Linked DNA regions of Xenopus tropicalis. The protein of the gene in region 2 interacts with the protein of the main gene of each other region in a biochemical or structural test. Links are inferred from orthologs where the notes say so. Each region holds a gene or a part of one and is shown on either strand. Other genes may lie near its edges. The genes, in order: smyd3 and map3k2.

Region 1 (4,303 bases), on a different chromosome or scaffold from region 2:
TAGTTTGTGAGCACACAGGTCATATTTAAAAGCAAACTAACTGAACAGTTATGTCCCATATGCCCCCTCCCCCTCAAGTGACTAATTGGTTACTGACTCCAAACAGCTTAAAGGAGGAAGTAGTGTTCTGCCTGTTATGTTAGACATCCTTTCACTTCAGCCTTTATAGATTACATTTTTGCCCAACTAATTATATAAGAAATATTTTGTAAATTGTGCAATCTATCTATTTTACCCAGGTTCTTTATTAGACTGAATTGTTCCTTTAAAGGCAATAATAATAATGCAAGTGTCTAGGTTATCATTTTTAAACTCTAGGGAACTGATACAGCTTCCATTATGTATGCAGCACTTAGGAAAAATCAGCTACTAAGGGTGACAGTGTCCCATGCTACAAACAGTACCACCCTTCCCTGTCTTTCATTCTTCACACTATCACTACAATTAGCAAGTTACCATTATACAATGATAAAAGCAGCCCTATCAAAAAGCAGCAGTTGATGCATAGAAGTGTTTTACCCCGTCATACCAGTGTCATTCACAAGACATGCAGATTGGCTGGAAGAATCATGTGTCAATATAAGAAAGCACAATCTGCGACACTGCCACTAGGTTATTGCAATTCTTGGTTTTTCTGATTGGGCACTTCTTTCTGCGAATCGAGTGATGCTGCTAAATAGGCAGAGGCTTAGAAAATCAGTGAAAGCTATTGTACCTGTGAAGACAGTGATCGCACGCAGTCTTTATCCGGCACACAGTATATACGTAGGGCTCAGCAATCATCACCGTTAATCCATGGCTCATATCCTTAAGTGCCCGAACTCCATTACCCTTCCCTGGGCTTTGGAACTTCTCCAGAATTCCCGACATCATGTTGTCAACTATTGCACACTGCAAATGAGATAAACAGCACTTGTGTGTCATTAGCTGCATGGAAAGCGTGGCAAATTGAGAGGTGTACACTAGCCTGCGCAGTGTCCCTGAGTTCAGACAAAAACTTTAGTTCTTTCCAGCAGAGCAAGAAACCTCTTCTGTAAATGCTGTAAGACCTCTTTTGCTCACCTTTCCCCAATCTCTGCGCTCTGAAATATTGCTGTAGCCTGTAGTCTCTATGCAATAATAGTAGACCCCAGATCAATGTATACTGAATGTGCTGATAGTAATAGCAGAGCCCCCACCGCTCTATGCAATAATAATAACAACAGACCCCAGACCTGTGGCTCCCCACTGCATGTGCTAATAGTAATAGCAGACCCCAGACCAGACCCCCTCTCTATGTACTGAAAGGAATAGCAGAGCCAAGACCTATGTCCCCACCCCCCACTCTATGCAATAATAGTCGACCCCAGACCCACTCATAGTAATAGTAGACCCCATATTTGTCGTCCCCTGCAGTGTATGCTGAATGTGTTGAAAGTAATAGCAAACCTCAGACCTGTGGCCCTCCTGCTCTATGTACTGATTGGATTAGCAGATCCTAGACGTATGGCCCCACAACGTATGCAATAGTAATAACAGACCCCAGACCTGTAGCTCCCCACTGAATGTGCTAATAGTTATAGCAGACCTCATACCTGTGGCCCCCCAATGTATGTAGTAATAATAATAAGAGCAGGCCCCAGACCTGTGACCTCCTCACTAAATAGTTGACCCCAGGCCTGTGGACCTCTAAAGTTTGTAATAATAGTAATAGCAGACCCCAGATCTGTGACCTCCCCCCCGCTTTATGCAATTATAGTAACAGCAGACCCCAGACCTGTGCTCTATGTAATAATAGTAGACCCCAGACCCCTGTGCCCCCCTCCCTAATGCATAATTGTAATGTACTGATTATGATAGCAGACCCCAGACCTGTGGCCCTCCGCTCTATGCAATAATAGTAATAGTCGATCCCAGAACTGTGGCACTGAATGAGCTAATAGTAGACCTGTGGCCCCCACTCTATGTACTATTGTGATTATTAGACCCCAGACCTGTTGCCCCCCCGCTTTATATACTGATAGGATTTGAAGAGCCCAGACCTGAGACACCCCCACGCTCTATGCAATCATAGTAACTGTTGACCAACAGCCTGTGGCCCCCTAACGTATGTAATAATAGTAACAGCAAACCCCAGACCTGAGGACCACCACTGAATGCGCTAACAGTAACAGCAGAACCCGAGTCCCGTGGCCCCCCGCTCTATGCAATAATAGTAATAGTAGACCCCAGATCTGTTGCTCCCCCAATGTATGCTAAATGTGCGGCCTGTAATAGCAGACCCCAGACCTGTGACCCCCTGCTCTATGTTGGATTAGCAGACCCCAGACCTGTGGCCCCCAATGTATGTAATAATAGTAATAGACCCCAGACCTGTGACCCCACCCTCCGCTCTATGCAATATTAGTAACAGCAGATCCCAGACCTGTGGCCCCGCCACTCTATTTACTGATAGGATTAGCAGACACCCAACCTGTGACTCTGGCTCTATGCAATAATAGTAACAGCAGACCCCAAACCCCTGGCCCCCACTGAATGTGCTAATAGTAACAGCAGATCCCAGACCTGTGGCCCCGCCACTCTATTTACTGATAGGATTAGCAGACCCCCAACCTGTGACCCCGGCTCTGTGCAATAATAACAGACCCCAAACCCGTGGCTCCCCAATATGTACTAATAGTAATAGCAAACCCCACACATGTGGCTCCCGCAGAATGTACTGATTGTAATTGCAATAACAGTAGCAGCAGACCCCAGACCTGCAGCCCCCTGCTCTGTGTACTGATAGGATTAGACTTCTTCAGCACTGCCGAATTCCTACAGTTACTTACAAGTAAAATACAGATGCTTCTCCGCGTTTCGAAGATTCTCATTGGCTGTGCTTGCTCACATGGCTAGGGAAAGGGGCTGGATTTCCCCATTGGCTGTGCTTGCTCACATGGCTAGGGAAAAAGGGGGCTGGATTTCTGCAGCAGCTGGTCTGGAACGGGGAAGTGTGGCCAGTGCTGGGCTGAGCTTTGCTGTGTGCTGTAGTCCCTGCAGGAATGAAGGGATGTACTGCTAGAGATAAGCAGTCTTTCATTATCTACTTTGTGTGCACTTTAACCCTTTACTCTTCAAACTCTGCCTTATATATTATCCCCCACTTACAATTTGGTGTATTTACATACACATGGTGGGGATCTGGCTGAGCCATAAAATATAGTTAAAGCAAAAGAAAAATGCAAGTGAAAAGCATATCTTGTAAATGAAGGAAAATCACATAACAAAAATACTGGAAGAAGAGAAAACAAAGGGGTAAGGAAAGGAAATAAAAGCAAAGACCTTGGGAAGAAAGGTATATAAGGTATATACTGTGGGAAATGATGTATAATCTGTTTATATAGTGCCAATATATTTAGCAGCTGTTATACAAAGTATAACAAAAATATGACTGTGGCCCTTTTCTCTAAGTCTTTTGTGTACCTAACAAACACTTTTTGGCTAGAAAGTGCTTAAAACACTAGTGCACTTGGTACATGTGATGCTGCCATTCCAACCATGGAAAAGGGGGGGGTTGTAATATGGGTGTGGTCAAAACATTTTGACACTCTCAGTGCGGCATATTCTTTTGTCCCGCTTTTAAATTTATTTATTTTTAAAGGTTTTTATTTTGTTAACAATACATTGAGTTATATAGTGTTATGACCACAGAGATAGTACATGACATTGAGAGAGTTAAATAGATTACCAATCGATGCAATATGGGCAGGCTTGGACAAGGCTTTGCAGCTGTTAGGGAGCCTATTTGATTCCTGTGTTTGGGATTATATAGTAGGGTTTGACTCAGGCTGAGCCTCTATCCAGGGTTCACGTACATTATCCTCTTTTTAATTTTGTTGGGAGGTATGTAGTAATAGTAGACCCCAGATCTGTATGCTGAATGTGCTGAAAGTAATAGTAGACCCCAGACTTGTGGCCACGCTGTATGCACTGCTCAAATAAAATAAATACCCATCACAGTACCACACAAGTGGTACCCCAAATAACAGACCTCAAATCAGCGAGGGACCACAAAGTGAAGGAGATGCGATGAGCAAAGGATTGCTGCAGCACTGAATCAAGCGATCTCTTCTAACCAGGAGGTGAAGGAGATGCAAATAAAGAATACCGCAGAATCGAATAGACCGATTCCTCTGAGCACCAGGAATAAAATGAGGAAGACCGGTAGCAAATAAAAGAATGTAGGAAAACCGAACAGAACCACCAAAGTGGAAGATGCCACTGGCAAGCAACTTGCAATTGCTATGTCACTACTGGAAGTGACGTCACAGCAGTGGGGCAT
Region 2 (4,554 bases):
CCTTATAATACATGAGTGATACTCAGAGTTCCCTGTATAACTCAGCCTGCAGCCTTGTGCCTTTATATGGGCACAGAACCCCTCAGTGACTGCTAATATCCTTATCATTTACAGTAGGGGGTACATTATCCCTTATAATACATGAGTGATACTCAGAGTTCCCTGTATAACTCAGCCTGCAGCCTTGTGCCTTTATATGGGGGGCACAGAACCCCTCAGTGACTGCTAATATCCTTATCATTTACAGTAGGGGGTACATTATCCTTATAATACATGAGTGATACTCAGAGTTCCCTGTATAACTCAGCCTGCAGCCTTGTGCCTTTATATGGGGGGCACAGAACCCCTCAGTGACTGCTAATATCCTTATCATTTACAGTAGGGGGTACATTATCCCTTATAATACATGAGTGATACTCAGAGTTCCCTGTATAACTCAGCCTGCAGCCTTGTGCCTTTATATGGGGGGCACAGAACCCCTCAGTGACTGCTAATATCCTTATCATTTACAGTAGGGGGGTACATTATCCCTTATAATACATGAGTGATACTCAGAGTTCCCTGTATAACTCAGCCTGCAGCCTTGTGCCTTTATATGGGCACAGAACCCCTCAGTGACTGCTAATAGCCTTATCATTTACAGTAGGGGGTACATTATCCCTTATAATACATGAGTGATACTCAGAGTTCCCTGTATAACTCAGCCTGCAGCCTTGTGCCTTTATATGGGGGGCACAGAACCCCTCAGTGACTGCTAATATCCTTATCATTTACAGTAGGGGGTACATTATCCTTATAATACATGAGTGATACTCAGAGTTCCCTGTATAACTCAGCCTGCAGCCTTGTGCCTTTATATGGGGGGCACAGAACCCCTCAGTGACTGCTAATATCCTTATCATTTACAGTAGGGGGTACATTATCCCTTATAATACATGAGTGATACTCAGAGTTCCCTGTATAACTCAGCCTGCAGCCTTGTGCCTTTATATGGGGGGCACAGAACCCCTTAATGTTGTCTATTAACAACTTGACATTATTTCCTTGAATAAAACCTTTATGAGACAAACTCCATGGAATGGAAGAGAAGGGCCACCCCGGTCTAACGCGGTATAAGGCGACACTGATATACTACAAGTGATACATTATCAACCGAATGTGTTTTTTTATTCCACATTTCTATGAAAATTAAACACGAGCAAAACCCCCTCACAAGTAGGGAACTCTATCACTTTAAATCTGAACGCTCAGCTTCCGCATCTCCGTGAGCTTCACAACTACAACTCCCAGAATTCCGTCGTTGAGAGTTTACGCAAGCCAATCGAATTGCGCATGTGCTTGAGCCATCCCCTGTTGAAATGACAGACAAGGCTGTGGGCCAATAAGCTGAAAGTTTTGTCTCTAGGCGATGACAGCCGTGCTCCTCCCCTTTATTGACGCCTCCGTGCTTGTCTCTGCTGGCGCTAGCCCCTCCCCCCTGTGACGTGCGCGTACTCGGTCCCGTAGTCCCAGGTTCACACGCTCGGTTTGGTTCCGTCGCTCCTTATTAATTAACCCTTACGCCGCGGCTGCCTTTTCGTAAGCGGAGCAGTTACGGGGCCTGTGCAAGTTCCGAGGGTTCCGGGATGGCCGCCATTTTGTGAAGAGCGGGCCCAGTTCGGAATAACACTGCCGCCGCTGCCCCCGGGCCTGTGACCCCCCGCCCCCCCCGGGAGGAACAGGCTGGGGGCGGGGGATTGCTGGAGTCGGAGCTGCAAGGGCTTCTGGGAAGTACAACCGGGCCCCCGGCTCAGCTGACAGGTATAAGGGCCACACATTCATTTTAAAGGGGGCTGCAGGCTTTGGGGGGGTTGTGTTGGGGGGCTATTAGTGTTTATGGAACTCTGAGGGGGGGGGAATTCATTGGGGGCTGTTATGGGGGAGGGACAACTGTAAAGGGGGGGTGCTATGGGCATTACAGGGGGGCTATATGATGTATTGGGGCTGGGGAGCAATGTCTGAGGGTGTCATGGGGGGGCAAGTGTGGCTAATATTTGTGTTTGCCATGGGAATCAGCTGCTATCTGCTACATTGTGTCAGCAGTCACAGCCAGCAGTGCAGCAGTCAGAAGCAATTGCCTTGGCAAGTACATTAAACCCACAGAGAATGAGGGAAGAAAGTGTATGGTGATTGGAATGGTATTTTCTCTTATTATACAGAATAGGGGAGCTACTTACATATAATATAAACCCAATAGGGCTGTTCTGCCCCCAATAAGGGGTAATTATATCTTAGTTGGGATCAAGTACAGGTACTGTTTTATTATTACAGAGAAAAGGGAATCATTTAACCATGAAATAAACCCAATAGGGCTGTTCTGCCCCCAATAAGGGGTAATTATATCTTAGTTGGGATCAAGTACAGGTACTGTTTTATTATTACAGAGAAAAGGGAATCATTTAACCATTAAATAAACCCAATAGGGCTGTTCTGCCCCAATAAGGGGTAATTATATCTTAGTTGGGATCAAGTACAGGTACTGTTTTATTATTACAGAGAAAAGGGAATCATTTAACCATTAAATAAACCCAATAGGGCTGTTCTGCCCCAATAAGGGGTAATTATATCTTAGTTGGGATCAAGTACAGGTACTGTTTTATTATTACAGAGAAAAGGGAATCATTTAACCATTAAATAAACCCAATAGGGCTGTTCTGCCCCAATAAGGGTAATTATATCTTAGTTGGGATCAAGTACAGGTACTGTTTTATTATTACTGAGAAAAGGGAATCATTTAACCATTAAATAAACCCAATAGGGCTGTTCTGCCCCCAATAAGGGGTAATTATATCTTAGTTGGGATCAAGTACAGGTACTGTTTTATTATTACAGAGAAAAGGGAATCATTTAACCATGAAATAAACCCAATAGGGCTGTTCTGCCCCCAATAAGGGGAAATTATATCTTATTTGGGATCAAGTACAGGTACTGTTTTATTATTACAGAGAAAAGGGAATCATTTTTAAAAATTAGAATTATTTGCTTATAATGGAGTCTATAGGAGATGACACTTCCGTAATTCTGAGCTTTCTGGATAACGGGTTTCCAGATAATGGCTCCCATACCTGTACTAAGGCTTTATAGTCGCTGTTGCAGAGATACATTGACCGGAAGATCTCATAAACTCATCAGATTTAGTAGCGCCCGACAGGATCTGGTGTTGTTGCACGCAGTGTAGCTCAGCCCTAAGGGGATCAGTCAGGGACGGGGGAGATTCCTGGGAGCTGATCCAGCAAGTCATGCAATCCAGTGGTGTAAATTAGCTGCTTGTTTCTGGTGGGGGGGCTAGAAGCATTGACGGATAGGGGCTGTGCAGTAAGTCACTAAACTTGCTCTCATTTTTAGGCAACTAGATTTTCCAGCTTCTCCAGTTGCAGCCTGTACAGGTCCAAACAGATATGGTTTGGGAAGGGCAATTGTTTGGCCCCGTGCTATGGTCACTGCTCTGCAGAGGAACTAGGGATGCACCAAATACACTATTTCTGGGTCGTGCTTGCTTAAATTTGTTTTACTTTGTGTTTATGTGGCCAAAAGGCACATGATTTTAAGGATTTGGTTCAACCAGGCCATATCCGAATCCTGCATAAAAAGGCAGAATCTTGGCCGAATCCTGGATTTGGTGCATCCCTAATAGGAACACTAAGACGGCCTCTAAAATCAGCCTGGATAGGGTGCTGGTAACCACCTGTAAGTAAAGGAATACAGATATGGGATCTTGTATGCGGAAACCCATTATCCAGATGAATTCCGTTCTGAATTACGGAAAGGCCATCTCCCATTGACTCCATTATAAGCAAATAAATTCAGAATTTTAAAAGTGATTTCCTTTTCTCTGTAATAATAAAACAGTACCTGTACTTGATCCCAACTAAGATATAATTACCCCTTATTGGGGGCAGAACAGCCCTATTGGGTTTATTTCATGGTTAAATGATTCCCTTTTCTCTGTAATAATAAAACAGTACCTGTACTTGATCCCAACTAAGATATAATTACCCCTTATTGGGGCAGAACAGCCCTATTGGGTTTATTTCATGGTTAAATGATTCCCTTTTCTCTGTAATAATAAAACAGTACCTGTACTTGATCCCAACTAAGATATAATTACCCCTTATTGGGGGCAGAACAGCCCTATTGGGTTTATTTCATGGTTAAATGATTCCCTTTTCTCTGTAATAATAAAACAGTACCTGTACTTGATCCCAACTAAGATATAATTACCCCTTATTGGGGGCAGAACAGCCCTATTGGGTTTATTTCATGGTTAAATGACTCCATTTTCTCTGTAATAATAAAACAGTACCTGTACTTGATCCCAACTAAGATATAATTACCCCTTATTGGGGGCAGAACAATCCTATTGGGTGGGACGTTCTGTAACACGCCGAGAGTTAACTTAAAGGTGAAATACCCCTTAAAATTCTAACATTGGTATTTTGGAAGAGTCAGGGGTCTTATAGAAGGAAGGTGGTGGGAAACTTTACTTTAAAGCCATGTAGGGAAAAGCTGCATGTT

Evidence for each region.
Region 1: the proteins of map3k2 (region 2) and smyd3 are reported together in a solved structure, tested with the Homo sapiens proteins (2 studies listed by BioGRID and IntAct, with this or other methods). The link is inferred for Xenopus tropicalis from reciprocal best matches to the Homo sapiens genes MAP3K2 and SMYD3.

Annotation. Positions count from the first base shown.
Region 1 is NC_030681.2:51,485,567-51,489,869, reverse strand, and holds the start of smyd3 (histone-lysine N-methyltransferase SMYD3), read right to left. Parts: upstream 2,996-4,303; 5' UTR 2,853-2,995; coding exon 2,811-2,852; intron 2,797-2,810; exon of another isoform or gene 2,739-2,796; intron 892-2,738; coding exon 716-891; intron 1-715. UniProt on the Homo sapiens protein: Histone methyltransferase. Specifically methylates 'Lys-4' of histone H3, inducing di- and tri-methylation, but not monomethylation. Also methylates 'Lys-5' of histone H4.
Region 2 is NC_030685.2:86,477,401-86,481,954, forward strand, and holds the start of map3k2 (mitogen-activated protein kinase kinase kinase 2), read left to right. Parts: upstream 1-1,434; 5' UTR 1,435-1,800; intron 1,801-4,554. UniProt on the Homo sapiens protein: Component of a protein kinase signal transduction cascade. Regulates the JNK and ERK5 pathways by phosphorylating and activating MAP2K5 and MAP2K7. Plays a role in caveolae kiss-and-run dynamics.